3 linked regions of the Drosophila melanogaster genome follow. The gene in region 3 interacts genetically with the main gene of each other region. Each region holds a gene or a part of one and is shown on either strand. Other genes may lie near its edges.

The links.
Region 1: of comm (region 3) and Sdc, changing one suppresses a phenotype caused by changing the other (phenotypic suppression), as found in Drosophila melanogaster (one study listed by BioGRID).
Region 2: of comm (region 3) and kuz, changing one suppresses a phenotype caused by changing the other (phenotypic suppression), as found in Drosophila melanogaster (one study listed by BioGRID).

The regions. Positions count from the first base shown.
Region 1 is NT_033778.4:21,477,453-21,484,315, reverse strand, and holds the start of Sdc (syndecan), read left to right. Parts: upstream 1-3,139; 5' UTR 3,140-3,302; intron 3,303-3,937; exon of another isoform or gene 3,938-3,959; 5' UTR 3,960-4,132; coding exon 4,133-4,225; intron 4,226-6,863. Other genes in the region: Sara (smad anchor for receptor activation), read right to left, coding at 1-1,123, 1,273-2,091. UniProt on the Drosophila melanogaster protein: Cell surface proteoglycan that bears heparan sulfate. Required for axonal and myotube guidance, is a necessary component of slit/robo signaling and is required in the slit target cells.
Region 2 is NT_033779.5:13,547,645-13,554,432, reverse strand, and holds the start of kuz (kuzbanian), read right to left. Parts: upstream 4,295-6,788; 5' UTR 4,140-4,294; exon of another isoform or gene 4,013-4,139; intron 3,292-4,012; 5' UTR 2,831-3,291; coding exon 2,767-2,830; intron 1-2,766.
Region 3 is NT_037436.4:15,721,607-15,731,047, reverse strand, and holds the start of comm (commissureless), read left to right. Parts: upstream 1-2,617; 5' UTR 2,618-2,843; coding exon 2,844-3,351; intron 3,352-7,776; coding exon 7,777-8,381; 3' UTR 8,382-9,441. UniProt on the Drosophila melanogaster protein: Controls axon guidance across the CNS midline by preventing the delivery of Robo to the growth cone.

The sequences.
Region 1 (6,863 bases), on a different chromosome or scaffold from region 3:
CGGGCACAATCACACTAGGTGGCGGAGCACCCGGTGAGTTGGCCACCTGACGGTGTGGTGGTATTGTAGAACAATATTCCATTGGATTGTTTGGGTTTGGCGAACGAATGGGAGTGGGCGGCAATGCCGAACCCGGTGCTGACTCAGAATTCAATCCATTAGCCTGCCGCTCAGAGAGAATCATATAACACTGCACACAAACCCTAGACTCGGGTTCGGTGGCGAATTCCAATCGGAATCGTTGCGAACAGCAGACAGAGCACAAGACCTTTCCGCAGGCGCGACAGTGGTGACGCCTTTTGATCATGGTGAACTTTTGCTGACATTGCATGCACTGCCCGGCCATGTTATCCGGGACCCATATGGGTGGCACCTTGCCCAGATTGGCATGCGGATCGCTGTAGCCCACTGCTTCGTAGATAGGACTTTCCTCGTCATCCTCGCCGGGTATAACACCTACTCCTGCCGCTCCTTCCCTGACTTCGGTAGGCTGCAAAGTTTCCTGTTGAATTTCGGGATTTTCATCTTGAGATGGCGTGGAACTTTCTGCCTGGCAACCATTCAAATTTAGGGTTTGTGGTCGCTGGGGGCGCTGCTCTTGGGTTTCCAGGGCATCCGTTGCCAGGCTGGCATCTTCATGCTCTCGATCGACCTCCACTTCGCCATCTAGTTTCCTGCCCGAAAGGGAATCCGATTCCGTGCTGCTGAAACTGGAGGCTACATCTTCTCCCATCGCGGTAACTGGTGTGGACTCCGGCTGCTTCAGATCAGCAAACTCCACAGTGGAGGCCTGCGAAAAGTTGTCCACGTTCATCTGATCGTTCGAGGTTGTCTCCTGCTCATCGGATAGAATCCGCACCGACTCCTCCTCGGTCACTGGCGAGGCGGAGCAGGATTTCTCATCGTCGGGCATTTGCTGATCGTCCGCCTGGTTGTCATCTGCATCCATCTCTTGCAGCATGCTGTCCAGTTCGGTGTCCGAGATCTCGTCCATGGTGGAGCAGAAGGTCAACGGTTGACTACGCCTGGGATGCTGCTCCTGTGGCAGCTCCACATCCTCTTCTTCCGTTTGTACTGGCTGCTCCATCTCTTTAGGGACCGGTACTTCCGCAACAGATGCTGGCTGAAAATGTAACACCATTATTAATAAACTATACTATATGTCAAGATAGTTTATAACCTTAATTGATTTATGAAGCTGATAATATTTTTAAACTAATGCGCTACACTTATTAGTCATTTACACAAACAAAGTAAGGTAATAGTACTTACTAAATTGGCCAATGGGACATCTATGCCGTTGGTCATTTCGGTTTCGGGTTCTCTACTGGGCGACGATTCCTCCGAGAGCTCCTCGAGGACCTGCCCGAGAACAGACGATGCGGTGACCTCCTCCGGCAATAGGGATTGCGATTCTGTGCCGGACGCAGTGATGGAGATGGATGACAATCCAACTGCTAACTCCTCTACAGTTTGTTTGGATTGCGTTGGCGGTGGAACAGCCTGATCTTGGTGCTGGTCCTCATGCTTGACCTGTTCCGGCTGTTGATCCTGTTCCTTTGGCTCCACCTGAACTTCACTCGTTTTCTCATCTTCGGGGGGCGTTGCTAGCTCCTCCGAGTGACTGCCATTGCTCACGGGCGACGGACCCGACGAGAAGGTGGAACAGGATGAGGTGGTCAGCGATTCGGAGGACGATACTATCGTCTGGCCGTTATTTTTGGACGCCTGTTCGCTGAACTTGTGGATGTCGTCTTCGTGTTCCGCCTCCGTTTGCCAGTCGTAGCTGGGTAATTGGGCATCCACCTGCAAGGACTTCACATTTTCCCTGTAGTCATCCAGGCTGTTGAAAACCTGAGAGACGCCCACAAAGGACTTTCCAGACGCCGGTGTTGGTGTTACTCCCGCAGCTCCCGATACTCCGGCGCCAGCTCCAACTCCACTGATCGATGCACTTGCTCCGTCGCCCAGAAAACGGCCAGGATTTGCACCTGCAGCTGCTGCTGCCGCTGCATTTCTACTCAGCTGCTCATCGGCGGCAATGCTCAGTTCCAGATTGTCCAAAACCTGATCAATGTCCACCAAGTCCATGGCCACCAAATCCGCAGAAACCTTAAATAAAATTGAACCAACCAGGTTTATCTGCTTGCATTTTCACAAAAACGCAAAAGAGAAAAAACAACACAAAAAGATGTGGAGAAAAAACGGTCTTGTGATTCATACCTTTTTCACACCTCGAATATAGTCATAACAAGGCAATGAGGAAAACAAGGACGTATTCGCCTTTAATAAGCAATATTAAGCACCTGCAATCACCTTATTTACTTTGTTTTCTTCTCGCTAATTTATTAACAAAAACTCGGTGACGAAAAACATTGTAAGAAACTGCCTAAAAATAGCCATGGAAACAGTGTTGCAAAGACAAAAAAAATTAAGTCAAATTAGCACCTTTCTCATTTAGTATTTTATGATGCTATCTCGTTCTATCTTTCTCTATAATCTGTTACTGTTACAATGTTAACATAAACCGTAACACCTTTTCAAATTTGAAAATAATAATAGGTAAAAGCTGTCGGGTCCTACACGAATATGAATGCTTCAATTGTTCAATATTAATGCGTATGAATTCAAACAAATCTATTAACATTGGGTCTGGGAAATTTTAGCCGCCAGTCTGTGTTTTTAAAAAAATGTTGGGTTGTACAACTGAACTAACAGTATCACAGAATAACAGTGAACGTACGAGCAACCGAAACAGTGTAAATCAGTGTAACCGCAGCTTAGCTCAAGAAAAATACTATAAGCATTTAAATATGAAATCTTGCCGATTTAAATGAATTCAAAATGTTAATTATATTTGATTGAATTATTATTTGCCTATCAAACATTTAATAATTCTATAATAATATCTTAAGCAAATCATGTAAACAAACAGTAACATAAGAATAAAACCAAAAAAATTCAAGATGTTAAAGTAACATTTTTAATCGCGAAATTGTAACAGAAATATATAAATTTTAAATGAGTACGCGTTTCGGAGTGTCTATTTAAGTCATCACCCAGCTAAGCATAAGAATTGGTATTTTTTAGGAAATGCACAGCTTGGATAATTGAGTCGTTTCTGCATCTGGTAACATTGGCCAAGTCATTCGAAAAAATTTTACGGAGCGAAGAAGGCACGGTTACGTCCGGATTTTAGCGCGATTTCGTGTCTGTTGTTTGGTCGGCACTCGAGTGTAAAGAAATTTGTACATCCCCGAAAAGAATCGCGAGTGCAATTTTGTAAATACGGAGAGGAAAAGGTGCGCAAAATAGCAAAAATAAATGCAACGAAAATAAACGCAGCAAAACAACGGGCAGAAAGATACGAAAAGAAGAGGCAGGCGAAGCAGAGGAGAAAAGAGACACATAAAGAAGCCGCCATAGCGGCGTTAGTGGGAAAGAGAGGGCGCGAGAGGAGACGGAGAGCGAATACGAATGCGTATGGTGTAGTTGTAGTGGTGGGCGGTCGTGTTTTTTTTCGTTGAAAAATCTCTGGATTCAAAGGGAAAAACAGAAAAACAAAAGGAAAATACAGTGTATTATACGAAAAATTTGTTAAATTTTATGTTTTTAAAATTATAAATTACAAAAATCGAATTCGATTAAAACACCCACACACACACCAATACACACAGTAGTTGCGCTGTTGTCTCCTCTTTATTTTTGTGTTTTTCTCTCTGCGTAAACGTTTTGTTTATTACCCCCGCTCTTCTACTTCCTTTCTTTGATTTTAGCCGCGCGCGCATACGATAAATTGTTGTTAATTTTACAGTGTGTAATGCTTAATTAATACCCTGTCTCTCCAACCAACGCTATCTCTTTTGTTTTGCAATTCGATTGATAACACATCGGGAATAGTGTGTGTCTGGAAAATAAATAATCATAATAATCATAGTTTCATGTGTGTATTTAAACAGCGTTCTTCTAGTGTGAAACCAGTTTAAAAAGCTGCAAGAAATATATATAGCTCAATATATATATTTATATATGTGTGCCGCCGCCAGTTCTAATCTTTAAATCAATAAACAAAACTGGAAGCCATTAGCTGAAATCACAACAACAGCAACCGCAGAAGAAACCAACGGGGAAAATGAAGCCAAAGCAGAAGATTTCCGTAGAGCCGCTATTGCTAGTCGCAATTCTCATCGGAGTTCTGGTAGCCGCCACCCACGCTCAAGATCAGGTAAGATCTCAAAAATTACACCCGAAACTACCAAATGTTATTAGTTTACGTTGAGATAAGCCAAAATCAATGGCCAACTTCAAGTTTACCTGGCCAACCGAAATTTAGCCGACTTTGTGATAATATTAATGTGGCTTTAATGGCCATTGAATGCTTATTCATATTAATACGTCACACAGCTTGATTAATTACGAATGGGTCATTATTAGACATTGCTATCCTTTTGTAACGACATACACATGCCCACCAGTTTGGGCACAAAGTGGAGCATTTAAGTGGCCCCTTTCAAAAGCATAGTTGCGTAAGCCCATTGCTGCTTGTAACTGCTTACCAATTAAATCGAGGCAGATTCAATCAGCAATCCGAACTCCCAATTTTCGCCACCTTGAGAGGGTTCGGAACTCCAAGTTCGGTTCGATTTCTTGTTCACTTCAGTTGTTTTTGCGGTTTGCGGTTGTCCAATGCTGTTTCTGTTGTTCTTGTTGTTCTTGTTGTTGCACTTATCATGCAAAATTCGGCAGCCCCAAGGTGGATACATGTGTCATATACCCATGTACCATGTGGCAGAGGCTTGACGGGCAACGGGCATGGGCATGGTCAATCTCCAAGGCATTGCACTGAATGCAATTTGTGGCTGCAGATAATGAAGAGGAAAGGCCTCCATGTCCCGATGAATGTAAGCCGTAAGCTTCTGGCTCCATTGCTCCACTCCTTGGCTTCTTGTAGAAAAGACATTAAAAACGTCTGCATTGCGAACGCATAAATATGGCAGTGAACTAGACGCACAGACATCGGCACTGTGCAATATATATATATAGATAGTTATACATAGATATAGATATCGATATAGAGGACGAGGCGGCTGCTGGTCAAATAAGGCTGCAAATCCGAAATGGTCATCGACTCCAACGCATCGCATCCAGCCATCCATCGATGTTGTCGACTGTTACCCATTAGCGATGAGAGATGAGTGCCGCCACAGAAACAGATATGCCGCCACGTTCATATGGGGAATGCTACTCGGAGATATAGAGATGATTCAATTTCCGACGAATTCCTTTCTATTCGTCTCTCGTGCTTTCTTTAATCACCTGCTCTGCCCAATGAGATCATTTGGTGTCTGAATGTGCTGTTTTGAAAATTGTTTACAGATTCGAAACTGGCCTCTTTGGTGTTTTCCACTCATCACACAGTATTTTTGTCATTAATTGAGTAGTTTAATTTAGATTTACCGATTGTAAACTCTGCTTTTAAAGGGTGTTAACTTAGCAAAACCGGTTAAATTAATGGGCAAGTTGTGTAAATTGCTTAAAACAATTGCCAAGTTGACATTTATGTATTAGTGAAGGCAAAAGTTGGATTTAAACTGCATAATTTCACTTAAATTCTAAAAACTAATTTGAAGACTTGAGTTGGATTACTTATCAGCTTTTCTTGTTATCTAGCGCAATTACTCACATTAAGATTTATTGGCTGATAATAAAACCAGCTAATGAATCAGGCCGCAAGCCCAAAGGGCAATATTAATGTCTCCTTCTTATCTTCACCAAGTATTTTATGTAATTTAGCACATTTATTACATTCCGTGCTTTCTTGTTAGTTAATTATCCGAAATTAGAAGTTCTATTGAGATACGGTAAAAATTTAACAGCCAGTTTTCTTCATTTTCCGCAAAGAGTTTACAGTTGCATTTTCCACAGCTCATCACTGGAAAGCACTTCTTGATTTGGGCCTGGGTTCTGGGCCAGTTTTTGATACAACTTCTGCTACTGGTCACGATGATCTTTGGCATCGTCTGTTGCCAACAAAAGCATCCGGCTATTGCCAATTTCGATGGCTGTGTTTGCCTCTTTCACTGCCTGTTTGTTTGTTTGTTTGTTCGCTTGCCTGTTGGTTTGTTTGCCTTTATTGGTGTGTGACTTATTGGCCCGAAAAATTTCTACACACACTACTTGCACATAAATAGTGCGATGGCCTTTTACCCCTTCGCAAACGCCCGCCCGCCCCTCTCACCCATCTAAAGCAGTCTGTAATCTTGTTTTTGCCGTTCCTTCCATCTTGTGTCCTGTTTTTGGTGTTTGTCACTTGTTTTTGCCAAAATTGGCATTCGTGGTTATGCCCCCCTCCTCGGCTCCTTCGTAGCTCCTTTCCCTGTCGTCGAAAACATTTTGAGAACGTGCCCGGAAAATTGATGAGCAGCACGGCGAGAGATGGCTATAACTTCACCGGAAAGAGGGTGCAAGTTTAATGGTTGTGACTGCTGCAAGTGCCACACTATCTATTTTCCGTTGCTAGCTGTTGCCTCATTTACAAAGTTGGCATAAATCCATTATCTATGGCCATATCCTAATGTCCCTTAATACGAGCGTAAAAACATTTTAATTTTTTTTTTTTAAACATTTTAATATAACAATTAGGATATAAAGGTAGTAGCATTTTTTTGAATGTAACTGTAATTAAGTGTGGAAGTTAGTAAGGGATAACACTCGGTTGCATCCTCTCACCTCAAAGGTGTGGAAACCCAATGTACCACGCCTCCTTTTGCATTGCTCCCTCCCGTTTTCCGCATCCCTACCAACTGCCTGCTGTTTGTGTTTATTTTCCTTTCTTGGAATACCGATTCACATTGCCAGACGGC
Region 2 (6,788 bases), on a different chromosome or scaffold from region 3:
GGCTTCCTGGTGGAAATGAAGGTTTCAAGAGCACACATTATTCACTTTCCCAAAGGAAGTGCTAAGCCCATATCTAGAATAATTAGTAATGTCTCAAAAAACGGATTTTAACGTCCATATATTTTATGCCATTTTAAATATACTAAAATCATATATCAGATAAAGATTTGGCGGATTATGTTTATAATTGGCATATTAAAATGCGCACGCAAAAACCTTTAAGTCGGTTACGGAAATTGCCAACACGAATTTCACCTGCCAGGATAACGACATTTGTGTCGATTCAACCAATGCTTTCACCCTCGGAAAAGCCATTTACATTTCCCTGCATGTGCAGCGCCCTAGAAGAGGGCAATTTACATCGAGTCACGCCCTTTCATTAAAGCTACTCATCAATTTGAAGTGCCAGGCGCTTCAGTCATTCAACAAGCTTAAGGGATTTATTCACCGCATGTATACATTCGCATATAAATGCTACATGTATGCATTTCATTTTTTTATTACATTTTATTTCATTTATTTGGCAGAGGCACTCGGCAAACAATAAATGTCAGCCGCCTGGTGATAGTAACACACTTTGCAATGACAGATACATTTGTATCTGGCAGATACGACGGCAAATACAGAACAAACGCGTCTATCATCTGGGTCGGATTCACCAAATAAACCCACGAGTTTTGTGGGTCATTTTCTTTGTACGAGTATATTATGAAACAGCACGAAGTTCTTCATCCACGGTCACGTTGTCATCTCTAGATTTCGATGGTGGCTTCATTATTTGTTTGTTTACTATGTTGCACTCGGCACGTACGGGAAATAAAGCAAAGGAAAATTGCATAAATGCCCGGGCAAAGTGTCCATTGTTCTCTGGGCCCTATCATCCTAAACTCTCCTCCCATCCTAAACTCTCCCACATCTCCTATATGTGATTTATGAAAGCTTTTTGCCCGACTGAAATTATATTTGAAACAACTTTTAGTCAACAGCTTATCAATAACAATAATAAAATCCGGAAAAACCCAGATGTGACTCTAGAAACTCATTTCACTCGTCAGCGAATCTTCAAGTTTTTTTTGTCTCTTTCAAGATCAAAAAAAAAAAAAAAACGAAACCAAAAAACTGCAGATAAGTTACGTAAAAAGTAGCCGCAATCTCAAGCTGAAACTAAGATACGGATACAGTATCTTTATCTTAATTCCCAGCTGTATCTTGTTACTGTATCTCAGAACTGTTGCTTTTCACAGCATTTTTGGTTTATATATTTCTTTCGCTTCCGCTGCTTATTTGTGGGAGAAAAACTCTTCTCCGATAGCTGTTGCATATATATATATATATATTTTTTTATAATTTTTTCATTTTTAATCATTATAATATGGTTTGTGCAGCCCAGACAGATAATGCCGAGACATTGACCTTTTTCGCAGATTTTTTGTTTGTCTCTGGCCTTTTCTATTCGCCTCGCTTCTGGGTTCTCGGTTCTTATGTCTGCTCTCTTTCTTTGTTGTCAGATTAGCCGGCCAAGTGGATAAACCAGTTTTTGCCTCCGCCACTCTTCTTGGCTTGATTCTTGGCCCTCAATCCTCACTCTTTTACCCATGTTCATGTTGCTTGACTTTGGCTAATTAGCCAAGAGTGGAAGTTGTTGTCATGATCCCTCGCCCCGCCTCGAATTTCGTAACGTTGAACTTAGGAAAATCTTGCCATGCAAACAAATTAGTTGAAGTGGCGAAAAAACGGTCTTCAATGCAGTAACGACATTTTTTTTATCACAAAACACAATATATTCATAAATTAAGTAGCACAACTCTGATATATATATTTATATATGTAGATGTATAAGCTAAATGTTTCATTCCTACTGTGTGTTTCATACCGAAGTATATAGTTTTAAAATTTTGTAAGTCCCCTTTTGTTAAACCCAAGCTAACGATTTCACAATAAAAATGGATGAGTCCCCTGAGCTTTACTCAGGTTTTCATGACTCACGTTATACCTTATGCTTTTCGCCTTCTTCGCTCTTTTTGCCCCAACAATGGACTTGCTTTGTGGAAATAAATAGGTAGAATCTGAATTTGTATATTTACATGAACATACATACATATATGAGTAGCTAACTTAAGTGTAAAAAAAGTACATTCACGGCTATATAGATTGTTATTAGAGTCGGTTGAGTTTGAAACCTTGGCACCTGCAAGTGAGAATATTGCTGAAAGCAAACACTCTGGGTCACAAGAAAATCATTCTGTCAATTCGCTTGGAGTGACAATAGCGAAATTAAATTAATTATGCAAAGCAACCCCATTTGTTTAATAACAAAATACACCCACAGCATAGTTAGGGAGGCGAGAAAACCCAAAGACAATTACCCAAAGTGTCTACTAAAATTATAAGAAACCCTCTGTGTTCCACCCTCAAAACGATACCCTTCCCCTTCCCCCTAATATCCTTCACTCGTCAATTATCCTGGCAAAGTACGTAATTATTTTTGTTGCTCGAAGGGTTCTGGGTGAAAATGTTAACTTTGTTTCCGCCTGATTGAGCACTTATTCCAATGTTATTGTCTATGCGTCATTTGCAGCACCCTCGGCTGTATTTCATTTTAAGCCCCGATTGTTGTGGTTTCTTCGGTTGCCAGTGAGTCAAGTGCAGAAAAAAAACACCAATGCTTTATGTATTTTTAAATTAAAATATTTAAAAAATTATATGAAATAGGAACGGAAACCATTTAGATTACATTGTTAATCAATGTTAGTTTTTCGAACTTACCATTTACGATGATGATGAAAATGATCGATACGAATACAATGTTGAAAGCACATTTTGATGACATTATTTGCGATGGGGATCCAACGTGGATGGCTGTCGACTAAACAGAACTAGCACCAAATTTCTGCTTGCTTTTGTTTTATTTTTTATTTTTTTTATTTCCGCGAAGGTCGTTGATTGGTCTTAATAATTTCCTTGTGGCAGTAGTTGGTTGCGTTATTGGGCGGCACCTCGCACTCCAATCTTCGCGGGTTTTTTAATCAGAGCTTTGCACTTTCCATGCCATTTACAAATTTAGCACTTTTTGCATGGGCCATAAAACTTCGCAGCACTTTTTCGCACGCACGAATTATTTTTGCTATTTGTTGCAACTTCTTTTCGAGCTCTTGTCACGTACACTTTTCTTATATTTTTATTTTTGTTTTATTCCAATATTTTCTCGTTAATAAATTAAAAGCGAAAATAAAAAAGAAAAATCTTCTTTTTTGATTGATTTTGTGTGTTTATTCACTGGATTGTTTATTTCTGAAGGCAGAAGAGCGAGACATTTTGATTGATTTAATATTATTAAAAATATACTATTTAAATATAAAAATAGGCAATTTTATTTGTTTTATTGTTTTTTTTATAATTATGTTTTTTACTATTTACGCTATATTCATAAGTTCGGTATGCGTTTTTTCTTGTTTAATAAGTTTATGAATAGTTGGAAAACCAAAACATTAGCAATACAAACAAACATAAAATCACAACAAAAACAGCTATTGGCCTTTGCACTCACACAGAGGCAATGAGCAAGCGCGGAGAGGAGAGCAAGAGAGGGAGATGCAACAGAGACGACAAAGAGCGACGGAAGACGGAAAAGGAGAGAGCGACAGCTGCGGCGCAAACGCAACAAAATGCATTAAATTAATTATTGTTGCTTTTAAAACGCTTGTTGTTGCTGGCACAAAAGAACAACAAATCGATTTGTTTACAATGCTGTTTCAAAATAATTAAACAGAAAAATGTTTTCGTGAATAGTATTATGTGTAGTTTAACTTCGCAATAGGGCTAATTTAACAATGTTTTTGCATGTTTACTTATTTTCGTGTGCCTCGTCTTGTACTTCTTTCATGCTCTCTCTTTTATGTTGCTTCTCGGATTGCCTCTCTACATTTCTCTCTCTCACTCTCGTTTGCTATGTGTTGCCAGTAAATTAAATGCGTTGAAATGCAGCCATTTTGTCTCCGCAATTGGCACTCACTTGAACTCCGGTCGAATTTTTTGTTTAGCCACAATTCTCAATTGGCCAGAATTGGGGGCATTTTCTTTGATTAGCGCACATTTCTTAAGCCTGACTTGACGATATATATTTATTTTTATTCGCTCACCCGCTCGCACATTAGCACACACACACACACGAACGCACGCACACATGCAAACGCACGAACACGCGTCCAGCGATTTTCCGACTCCCACGGCGTTCCGAGATCCGTTACAAAGAGTTACGCGTCCAACTCGCTTGGTGGTTTTTTTTAAACTACCCGATTTCTCACCACATATACAAATGTACTTCAGTCTTAGAGTGACCAGTATCATAAAAAGAGATAATCTTTCTAATGCGTTAGTTTTCGTGTGCGTTAATACTGATATTGACGAGAGATGATACAATGACTCATCGTATTCACTATAGTATATTAATAATAGTTAGATTCATTAAATAAAACTTATTTAGGCAACAGCACTTACTTTTCAGCTAATTAAACATATTTAAACATTATTGATACTTACGCATAAGGTATACAGCAAATACAAATGTTATTTATGTTATTTAAATTAAGCTATTGCAAAATAATATTTTAAACTCTAAAGAGAATTTGTTTAATTGAATTAAAATTAAAATCATTTTGTTTTGTGAGCTTGTGTACTTCTTCGTTCATTTACATAAATTTTTTTTTGAACACTTAAATTCAAAAAAGGCGCCAAAATTACTTTATTTTGCAGCCCTCGTCCACTTCAACGAAAATATTTTTACGCCTGGTGGCAACCTTTATCATATGGAACCAGTGTTGCCACATTTGATATTTTAGATTTATAATGAAAACTATTAGAAATTTGATATATTTAACAAATAAGCTGTTTACATCAGAAGCTTGTTTTGTTGCTATGCTAATAAGCTGGATAGGGCCATTTGCTATGGTTATCTACTGATTTAAATTTGCCTATCGCTTACTGTGATAATTTGAGTATACGTTAAAATACAACCATTTTGAATCGCGCGCTCATTATTAACATGCTCGGATTTTTTAGTGATAAACTCGTTAAGACGCTCTGAGTTGTGTCACCTGGCAACACTTCGTCAGATGCTCATCGAGTGTTGCTGCGGGTGGACGTGCTCGCTTTCTCTGTCCGTTACCGTTACCTCGTGTCTGCGTTCACGTATCCGTGTGTCTGTCCGCGTTCCCCGTCCGTGTGTGGGTGTAGGTGCGAATGTGTGTGTGCCTTTGGTCGCGTGTCGTCGCCGCTTTCATGTAAACGAAGATTGTGCAAAAGGTAAACGCCAAACGGTGGCAACAACAGTAAATGATAAACAGAAGCGAAACAACTAGCAAGCGCAGCAACAACCACAACAACACAAACAGCAAAGAAGCAAGCAAACAAAACTTGTGAAATACTTTTTGTTTATTTTTTTTTTATTTTGGCCTGGTCTGGTGGCAAGTGGCAAAAGCTATAAAAAACGATTCTCGAAAACAGGTTTCCTGCGTGAGCGAGAGAGAGAGAGAGAGAGACCGAAGCGTTTACTGCAAACTAGAAGCTCAACTGCTGCCGCACAGTGGTCACTACAGTTCTAAGCTTGCCCCACTGTGCGCCCAGAACTTGTTTTCTTCTTCTTTTCATTCGATTCCCCTCCCCACTCCTTCGTTCCAACTGCAGCTAACTACTCCTTTCATCGGGCGTTTTAGAATGCATATTTGGTTTATGGGAAGCTCACATGCAGCGCCCCCCGAAATCAATACGGAAAACGGTTTTTCCCGAAAGAGCCGTTACTTTTCGGGAAAATCCCCATTCCACGGCACCTCGGCTCTGCCACAAAAATCAGCTGGCTCGGCAGTCGGCGCAGCTCTGCCGGCGTCGGCAGTGGAGGGACTGCGTCGGGCGCCTAGCAACAGAGGTTAAACCTCTGACTACAGGGACGGTTCACGCTTGGGCGGTCAAAATCTCGGGGAGCAACACGTTACATAAGGTGGCTGAAAGTTTGTCAACCTCAAGTTTGGTTACTTGTGTGTCTAGGCATTATGTGATTGTTAAAATCACGTGGCTTATACAATTGTGGTTGAATATCTTATAGTTTGCATTGTTTTTAAATTTTTTGAAAGTTCTTATAGCAGAATATTCTCTTAACCAGAAGATGAATAAAACAAAATAGTAAAAGTCCAAAAACGCTAAAGAGCTTGATTTTTTATGATACCTTACTTGAAACTTCCGAGATTAGCTTTTTGCCCCTCCCCGATGTTGAAGGACTTCGGTCCTGGTCCCTACCGCCGTCAGCTGTGCGCTCAGTGCGCAGGCGCCACACACACACACACACAGATGTGCCAGCCACAGGCAGCAGGAAGCAGGCAGAAGAAGAAGAAGAAACAGCAGGAGCAGCAGAGGAGGAAAAAGCGGACCAGCCTGCTGGTTAACTGCCTGACTTTGGCCCGCAAAATTGCATTGCTGGCGTCTCGCTCGCACGCACTTACTTCGGCAGTAATGCCGGAAAATGGGAAAATGTGAATGTGAATCGATGGTGGAGGAGGGCGGGCGGTGAACAGCGCGATGTGGGCCGAAGTTCGCAGTCGGCAGTCGGCAGTCGGCTTTACATAAGTTGACGTCCGTGGCAGGCGGTCTGCTCCTGGAATTTCAGTGCCCGGCTGCAGGTCCTTTGCTCAGGTTGTGTAGACGCGCTTTTCAGTTTTTCCGGTGGATCAGCTGCTGGCGCTTTGCAACTGGTTCGGATTTTCCTTAATTTTCTCTGCGCTACCCCTACTTACTTTTGA
Region 3 (9,441 bases):
TAAACTACTAACTAAAGTAACATTTTATTATGTCACTATGTCACACACATCCACACACCCTCACGGGCGCCAACACCAGTGCACAGGCACACACACACACACTCACACACACACGTACGGGGCTGACATGTTGACATGTTAAAGAGCATGTAAGTGAAGTGTGATGGAAGCTGGAAGATAAGATGAAAGCGGAGCGAGTCATGCACAAAGCATAGAACCCGAGCCCGAGCCCAAACCCAGAGATATAGTCCACATCCTTCCTTCCTTCAGTCTTATAGCCACGCCCGCTCCCGCTCAGCGCCCCTTTCCTGGTGGTGTCTTGTCTATTTTATGGTTTACTTTTAGTTAGTTAGTAAAAAGAATACAAGTTCTTCGTCCTTTTTTCGGGCGCTCACGTCAGCCGAGGTATTTTTATGATGGAATTTTTAATGAATTTACTTTTAGCTGGGTGTCACGGAGCATCTGCCTGCGCTTGCATAGTAGTCCTTGTGACTCCTGTCTGAAAGACAGAATATTCACAATTTTCTAAGGATTCATATTAAAATCACGCAGAGACAGGCTGTGAGGTTTCATACTTCGCTGCACACAAACGAAAGAGGTGTAAACTTGTTTATCAAACCCCACTTTTGTTGGAAAATATCGTTCGGGGTTGGTTTTCCATCCGAGCAGATTGAATGCGACAAGTCAAGTGATGTGAATTTAATTTGCATTGCCATCAAAATTGGATTACAAACGAAGAAATGCGAACAAATGTTATTGAAAGCTCAAAGAGGAATTCCAACAAATCAAATTGTGTGATGACATTTTTTGTGGTATTCTACAAAGGTGGTATACAAGTGAATTATTTCGAGTGTTTGCGAGTATAGTTTGCATTTGTGAGTGGGCTAGCATAAGAAAATATTTGTGATGCCAAACTTAATTCCATTGTTTGCTAAAATTGTACAAAAGCATTTATTTCATGCTTTAAAAATATATAAAATTATTAAAATGATTATTCTTATTGTACAGCCTGATTTATATTAAGTCCCACTTATTTTGTTACCACTACGAATTTCGACTACACCAAAGACCAACAAGTTATTAAATATACCAAGGAAATGATTATTTTCTAGCTGCATTTAGGCCATCAAAGTTTCCCTGAACTACCCAACGTACTGAAGTATGCCCGCAAACACGCATTGATTAAAATCGCTGCAGTTAAAACTTATGCTCAAGTTCAAAATTAGTCGAAAGCTAATTAACGATAAGCTCGGCTTGCCAAAGTGCAGTGCAGAAGTTTTCGCCTGGGCTCGGAAAAGTTTTTAATGCATTTATCGAGTGACTTTGGTCTCTAGCTAAGTGCTTATTATCGGGCATCTATTTCAATTTCCCCCTGGCAATTACGAGGCAGTCGAAACTACACATTGTAGTTGTCGGGAAAAACTACGTATTTTCCAGCCGCCCAAGACCTCTGACATTTTGAAACACCCACAACACACCGTGTGACCTTTAACCCAGGGCAGTTCAAAGGCAACTGCCATCGACTGCTCATTTTTAGTTTGGTTTTGCGCCAGGGAAATGGGAAAATTCACTCACCAGAGAGAGCGAGAAAAACTGCAAAAGAGAGAGAGAGAGAGAGAGAGTGCGCAATCAAGTGGGAGAAAATTTCCCTTTTTGAGTCCAAGTCTCTCCGAGAAGAACCGGTTTTCGAGTGGGTTTTCGAATGACATTGGAGTGAGTTCGGGTGCAGTGCATTTGTTCCACTTTCTGAGCAGGATATTTTTGGCACGTTTTTGTGTCGTCGGAGCCTTTTGTGCATTGAGTTTTTGCCACACTGCCGGCTTATGGTCAGCATGAGCAGAAATGAAGCGTGCTGTGGGTCGAATCCCCTTCCTGATTTTTTGTTGTTTTGTACCCCATTTTAGCCTTTTTGGAAGCAACAGCAACTGCTGGCAGCAGGAAGCATTGCGGTATCCTGACGCTCGAGGGACTCATAATGGTCGAGATTTTGAGTTCTGGTTACAGTTTGGGCTCTGGGCTACTTTAAAGCCAGTGAAAACTGGGTTAGTTTAAGATGGCTAAAAGCTAGACGTCACATAATTTCCATAAATTCTTCATGGCCCAAACAAAACTTTTAGCTGGCCATAATTCTTCGTTTGATTTGGCGCAAACTTCGCGCTCAGGCTTATCAAATGCCTCAGAACCCCTTTTTGCCTTTCATTAAAATCAGCACAGACTGAAACTTTGCCACAAAGCAATTTGCTGGAAAAACACAAGACCGAAAAGCGTTGGAAAAACTTTAAACAACGAACGTGACCGAGGTGAAGTTTTCCCTTCTTAACAGCGTTTTTTTCTCTGGTTTTCGTACGGAAAATATAGTTTTTGGTCAAACTAGGTCAGCTGGAGAGCAAAAAATAAGGCAGGGAGAAGGCGAAAGGACGTCAAACATTTAAAAACATAAAAGACATGCCAGAAATTGCATGCTTCTTTAAGCAAGGACTTGACTTGATTTCTTGAGTGCCTCGCCCACGACTCACTCAAGAGCGAGTGAATCGAGAAAATGAGTGAGTGGAATGGCAAATTTCCCGCATGGCATGGCATTCTCAGCGACCCGATGTAGGTATTATGCTCTGCCAGCTAGCAGTCAGTCAACTTATAGCCGCTCCAGCGAACGGACGCACCGAAAATCGAGCTATAGAAACTCTACGGCAAATAAAAAACCCGAAATCGAACCCATGACTTATATATAGAGCCAAACGATTTGTTTACGTGTCGTGACGCGAGTGTGCCAGCAGTTGTGTGCGTGTGCCAGACGCAAGCAGAAAATAAAGTTTACAAATTAAAATAAATCAAAGGCAATCACCATGATTAGCACCACGGATTATCCAACAGTGGAGACCACCACAACTGCCGAAGAGCTCTATGCGGAGTACATATCCGCGCCGGCCAGCAGCATGAGTCCCGCTGCAATTGCCGAGCACCTGCAGCAGAATCAGATCACCTTCGAGATACCCAGTGCCCACGATCTGCGACACATCGACGCCCTCAACTCCTTCAACGCCCTGCTCCAGAGGATTGGCAACGCAGCGGTGTCCTACGATCCCGCTCCACCCAGCGGCTGGTCTCCGGATGGCAGCATCAGCACCGAGCAGCTCTCCAAGTCGGTGGTTCTGGATCTGGCCGACTTGCGGGATAGGTCCGAGGAATCGGGCGAATCCTCGTGGTGGAGCCAGATCTTCGGGGATGCCGACATGCATGTGATCATCAATTATCTGTGGATCGGAGTGGTCAGCTCGCTGGTCATTCTGTCGCTGGTCTTCATCCTCTTCAGCTGCTACTTCTACAGGAAGTTCCGCACTTGGAAAAAATGCAGTAAGTTTCAGTCGGACAGCCACCCAAATATAATCCCCACTCATTTTCCGCCCCCAAAATGCCATACATCTGGCTTTTATGTGCTCGACTTTAATCAAAATGTTTCGCCAAAGCCTTATCTCCGGCCATTTATTCAGCTGGCTAAACAATATAAAATGCAGAAACAGAAAGAGCAACCGAAACAGGTCCCACCACCACCCATCGGTTCCATCAGCTTGGGAGCTTTGCTCCATAGAGCTCCTATGGCCGCAAAGCCTCATAAATTTTTTGGCGCGCTTCGAAATTGTCAGCCAGCCGTTTGCATCGTTCTGTTGTAATTTTAGATACACAAGTTTATTATGCCACAAAATATATGTGCCGCATATTTATAATATTAAATTGACTCGCCTCGGAGGCATTGTGCCCCTTTTATGATAGCGATAATGTACGAGCTGGAGAATATGGACGACCTCGTCGACCCTTCTCCCTCGAAAAATTGGAATTGTTGCCCCGAAATTTGTTTTGCAGGCGAAAGGCGTGAAATTGTGCCTTGATATTTATATATTTTGTTTTGGGGGCCGAGGCGGTAAAGAGTAATATAATAAAATAATGATGGACCATATCACTCAGCTGCGTAGCTAAAGTCTGAGGAAATGTGGCCTTTGTAAGTGGGCGAGATTGTAAAATATTTATTTTGTTTGATATTAGTTTAGGACCTAGAAACATTAAAAATTGAATTTCATATTTTTCTGACATCTCTCACACTTTTAGTTCAGCTCTGGCAGTCCAGTATTAAATCCAAAATCAATCAAGTTTGACACAACTGTTATCAAAATCCCACCTAAATCCGACCCAGATTACCAACACTCAACCCAAATAGAGCCCATGTAAATATATATCTTATCTGCTCGAAACCTGTTGATCCCAATCCCAAAAATAAATCATATGTTTAGGCACTTTACACATAATTACGGAGCACCACAACAAAGAACCCAACTCATACTAAACCAAACAGAACTGAACAGAACCTAAATGGAATTGTATTGGAGGGGCTGGCTAAACAACCTACACAACTAACAAGACTCCGACTCAAGTGTCAAACTTTTTGCAGACCAATTTAGCCAAATGATTTATTTAGGCCGGGCAGCAAGTGAAGGACTACGGCCAGGAGCAAACTTTCGTCCTGTTCCTGGGACTGTGAGCACAACTTCTTGGGCCAAAGGGCCGTGGCCTTAAAGCCTGGCCAACTCAACTGTCAAACTGTCAATTTTGTGCTAACGAGCCTTAAAAACTTTGCCCTGCGATTACGACACGCGACCAAGAAGGGTGGATCCGGAAAGCTCCATTTATATATATATATATATATACGTGAAATATCAATTTGAGCGATATGTGTTGCCTGCTTTCGGCCGTCCAATGCGTCTAATTAGTTTCGTTAGTGTCGTGTTCTGTGCTTCTATTTTTTTTTTGTGTGCTCTTCCCTGGTCCTATGGCCCAGATAGATAGCAAGTGGTTGGTGGGATAGGTTGCCCGGGATACTGGGATACTGGGATACGAGAAGTACGTGTGTCATTTATAATTAAGCAACTAGGCCGGAGTTCACTTCGGCTTTTGTGCATTTAATGCCAGCTACGTGGCGTCTCGCAGTGTTTACCTTATAAATGCTTAACGAGGCCCAAACACAAGAGTGTCTGGCCCAGTTGCCATTCAGCCAGCCAGGCAGCCAGGCTTACACCTTATTTATTAAACTGTCACACACACTGGCGATGGCAAACTTTCGGTCCTTTGGCTTTGGCTTGTTATCAATTAGTGCAGCGGAGGACTACGACTGAATTTATTAACAGACCAGATGAAGTTACTAAATTAAAGCCAAAGCCAAGCCGAGGAGCAACAGCCACTGTTTATCATGTTGTATAGGTCCTGCATAATTTAGTTGCGTAAAAATGTAATTAAGCGTAGCATATTTGCCCAAGACCAGAAAAAGTTGCTCTTAGCCCGGCAGTCCTTTTAAATTTTTAATGGTTTTCGTAGCGAGCAGCGCAGAAAAACTAGAAGCTGCTCTCTTTTTCGGCCATGGAAAATATTTTAGTTGCTTTGGTAGTTTTTTACCCCCATTTTGGCAAACTCAAATTGAGTGCTGTAATTAACCAAATTGTTTTGTAGCCGACCAGCACTTAGTGGTATGGGAAAGGCATACATAATAGAGCTGGCAAAAGTTTTAATGGCTGAGACTGCATCTTTTGTGTGGGAAAAATGGAAACACTCGAAATCGAATACCCATTTCAATGGGCGGCTTAATAACAATTGAAAGCAGCTTAAATACAATGATCATAATTCTTAAATAAAAAACTCCACTCAGATCGAATAAAGCCAGAAAAGTTGGGGCGTTTAAAAAATTAACAGACATTTATGGCAACACAAAATAAAGCAGCTCACTGCTTTCCATTTGCCAGTTTCCATTCGAGAGTGCCAGCTTATTGCGATGAATTTAAATTGTTGCATACATTTGGGCGCATCGACAACAGAAATGGGGAAAAAAGACAGGATACAAATGCAAAAATAAAGAGAAAGAAGGCAAAGTGCCAATGCAGCTGAAAAACAAAAGGCATCAACGAATGGCGTTAATTTTTTTTTGCCAACCGCACAGAGAGCGAAATAAAAACTAAATTTTGTATCTAAATATTTGTTCCGTTAGTGATATTTTATTTTCCTCAAAATAACATCACTAACTGGTTTGCATAATAGAAAGTGAATAAAAAAAAGACATTTGATATCACCATAGGACTTCTAGTTAGTAATATAAATTTTCTGCGTGCATCGGCCACCTTTTTCCCGATTTTCCGACTTTCTTTGCGTCCATCTGCAATGCTTGAAGCGGCTGAGTTGGTGGATGGGGAGGGGGGGGTACACCTTTTTCAGGGGCGGCTGTTTGTTCAACACTTGCATAAAATATGAAGCCTGCAGTCTGTGTATGAGTGGGCCACGCCCCCTTAGTCCAGGGCCCCGTTTGCCGGCTGTCTATCAAACAGAGAGCAAGGAAAAAAGCACGGAAACAAAAGTCGAAAAAGGGAAAACAAAGAGACAGAGTCCTCATGTAGGGTGTTCTGGCCGAAAAAAAGGATTTATATATGTGTGTGTGTGTGTTACAGTTATAACAATAAATCAACAACTGCTGGCAGCCACTGTAACTGCTGACTGGTTCTGCTACCGCTGCGTTTTAATATTGTAATGCGCAAATTTTTCAACAGGCTTTACCCCATGCCACAAAAACCGAAATACCGACCACCTTTCCTTCCTGCGAGATGCGCTTTAATTGAAAAAGCGTTTTCGGGAACAGAGAATTTATGAAAAATACAGCCTGAACAATTAAAAAATTGCCGAGTTTTTCCACAGCGAGGCGGCAACCAAATTAAATGACACAAAAAATGGACAGAGGCGATCCCCTATTTATTTATTGAATGCAGTTTAAATTGCATTTAATAATACTGAATACCTGCCACTTTTTGCAATGCCACATATGCTGGGCCGAAATTCTATTTGAGGCAAATTATTGCTTCATGCATTTTTAATCTGCTGTAACTCAAAATACAACCAAATTAAATTCTTTGATGGCCTCGGCTTAGAGCGCGTGTGCATGGAAATTGGAATTTTCCAATCTTAATTTAACTCTGCTTAATTTGAAACATGCACACACACACACACTCAAGCACACACACATGGACAGCAGCTGCGGCATTATAAAAATTAAATGCTTTCTGCTGCCTACTTTCCGGGGCTGTCGAGCTTTTATTTCATTGCAGTTGGCAGTTGGCGAACGTGTATGTGTGAGCCTGTGTGTCTGTGTGTATGCGAGAGAGTATTTTATTTCATTCCATTCTGCCACGCGCGCACTTCCGGCATATTATTGCCTAGTTGCTGTTGTTGCTTGGGTGGCAGTCAGTCCGCTGTGAAGGAACTTCGCCTGTCCTGCCATCCTCGCCGGCATTTCCGGTCAGCACAAAACTTTCCGCTTCCCCTTTTTTGCCATTTTTTTCGCCTTTTTTTTTGCCTCTGCATTCGGGAAAGTTCAAGCGTTTGCGCCTTTACGCTAAATTGAATTTAATGCCACGGGCCCGTCCTTCTACAAATGTCCTTTGACATGGACAAACAAAGTAATGACAGAGTCAAAACTTTGATGCCTGATTGGGAAGCACCCATTCCGCTATTCCTACACAGCAAGAAATGAAAAAAAATAGTATCATGAAATAAATTTTAAACAAAAACGAATTTTAATTTTAACTATTAGTTACGTGGAATATTGTTATATCTCAATGTTTAAAGAATCTTAATTTGTGCTTTCTGCATTGCTTGCCCCAAAAAGTCCCTTTTTTTTCTCTGTCCATCTAAACAATAGAAACTTTCTGGTGACAAACTCAACTAACAAACTCCGTCTTCTGTTTATTGCAGATAAGGACATACGTGCCCAGATCCATGCGGCCAGTGACTCGTACTCCTCGCACCTGGTTGGTTGCGATGCCAGCAGACTGCTGTTGCACCAGCAGATGCAGCATCCACATCATCGGAGCAGCGAGGCTGGGTTCTACCAAATCGAATCGCCGCCCTGCTACACAATCGCCACCGGATTGCCCAGCTACGATGAGGCACTGCATCATCAGCCTCGGCACTTTGCCTACGGCATGAAGTTCGTTTATCCCTCGTTGGCGGCCGTGCATCATCATCACCATTGCATTTCCAATTGGGAGAAGCAGGAGCCGCTGAATAAGCTGCAAAAGTGCAAGCTGTCAGCGGCAGCGGCAGTGGAGGAGGATAAAGCCGACTCCTCATCGTCCACGTCTGCATCCGCGTCGCCATCCTCTTCGGAATCCAGCAACTTGGCCACAGCAACGCCTGCCATTTGCATTAACATGCCAAGTGGGCGGCAGGATGAGGAGGTGGATAATTCAGATTCCGATTCCGCAATTGCAGTTGCAGTGGCAGTAGCACAAAGTTTACAGCCGGCGGCGCCTGCCGACGATGATTGCGCCTCATTGGTCGTTGTTGTTGCCGCGTGATTGCCCACCCAGGGGTCAGAGGTCAGGGAATAAGGGGTCAGTCGAGGGTTTAGGGCCGGGAGTAGCAGCCCAATTGCTTAGTCACTTGTAAATAGTTGCATCGTCTGCTAATGTTGTTTGCCCCATGTAATAACATATATCTCCGAGAATGTACCCTCTCCCTCCCTCTAAGAAAATTTAGTTTTGGTTTTTAGTTATCTGTTATATATTATTGTATTACGCAAGACTGAGTATTATTTATTGTACTATGTATAAAACCGAATTGTCTATCGATTAAGCCCTAATATCTAAGCGAGAGTTGAAGAAAAAATATAAAACTCGAATGAACACATTGCAAACTAAATTGAAATTTTCGTTTTCATTTCCTTATCAGTTTTTCAGTTGCGCCCAATGCCAAATAAAATCATATCCAATGCTAGGCGACTTCCACTCCCATTGTTGACCTTGCTGGCAGTGCACGAATCCTAATCTCTCAGATATCCGTACTTTGGGCAGAGCAAATATCAGATGCCGTTTGGGGTTTCGGATTTGGTTTTGTTCTGAAATTATGTACGTGACTTGGATGCGCCTGGTCGAGATTAGGTCAGCAGAAATGCAGTGCAGCTGGGGAATGCTCCACGAACGTGCACTGCTGAAAGGATTTTTCAGCATCCGTTTTAAGTGTTACTTAAGGATTTGGCCAAATAACGGATTAAGTCAGAAAAGTTTATAGAGAAAATAAAGCTGATTACACAAGCGCATGTCTTAAAAAATGGTCAGTTAATTAAATGATTGTGATCTTCTGGCATCAATATTTGTCTACGATTCATTTAAGATATCCATTGATATTTGATATCCCCGCTTTTTCCCTTGTAAAGATACAACTTCAATTTCCAACATAAAAAATGTTGTCCAACCTTAAGACATCATTGTTCAATAACTAACAAACACAGACAGTTTCTTAAAGTTGCAGTTACTACGATTAAATAGAAACATTAACTAGCGTAAAATCTAAAGCTAAAGCTCACAAAACAAACAACCGGAATAAATATTGTATACTATGGAAAGGAGAAAGGGAAGA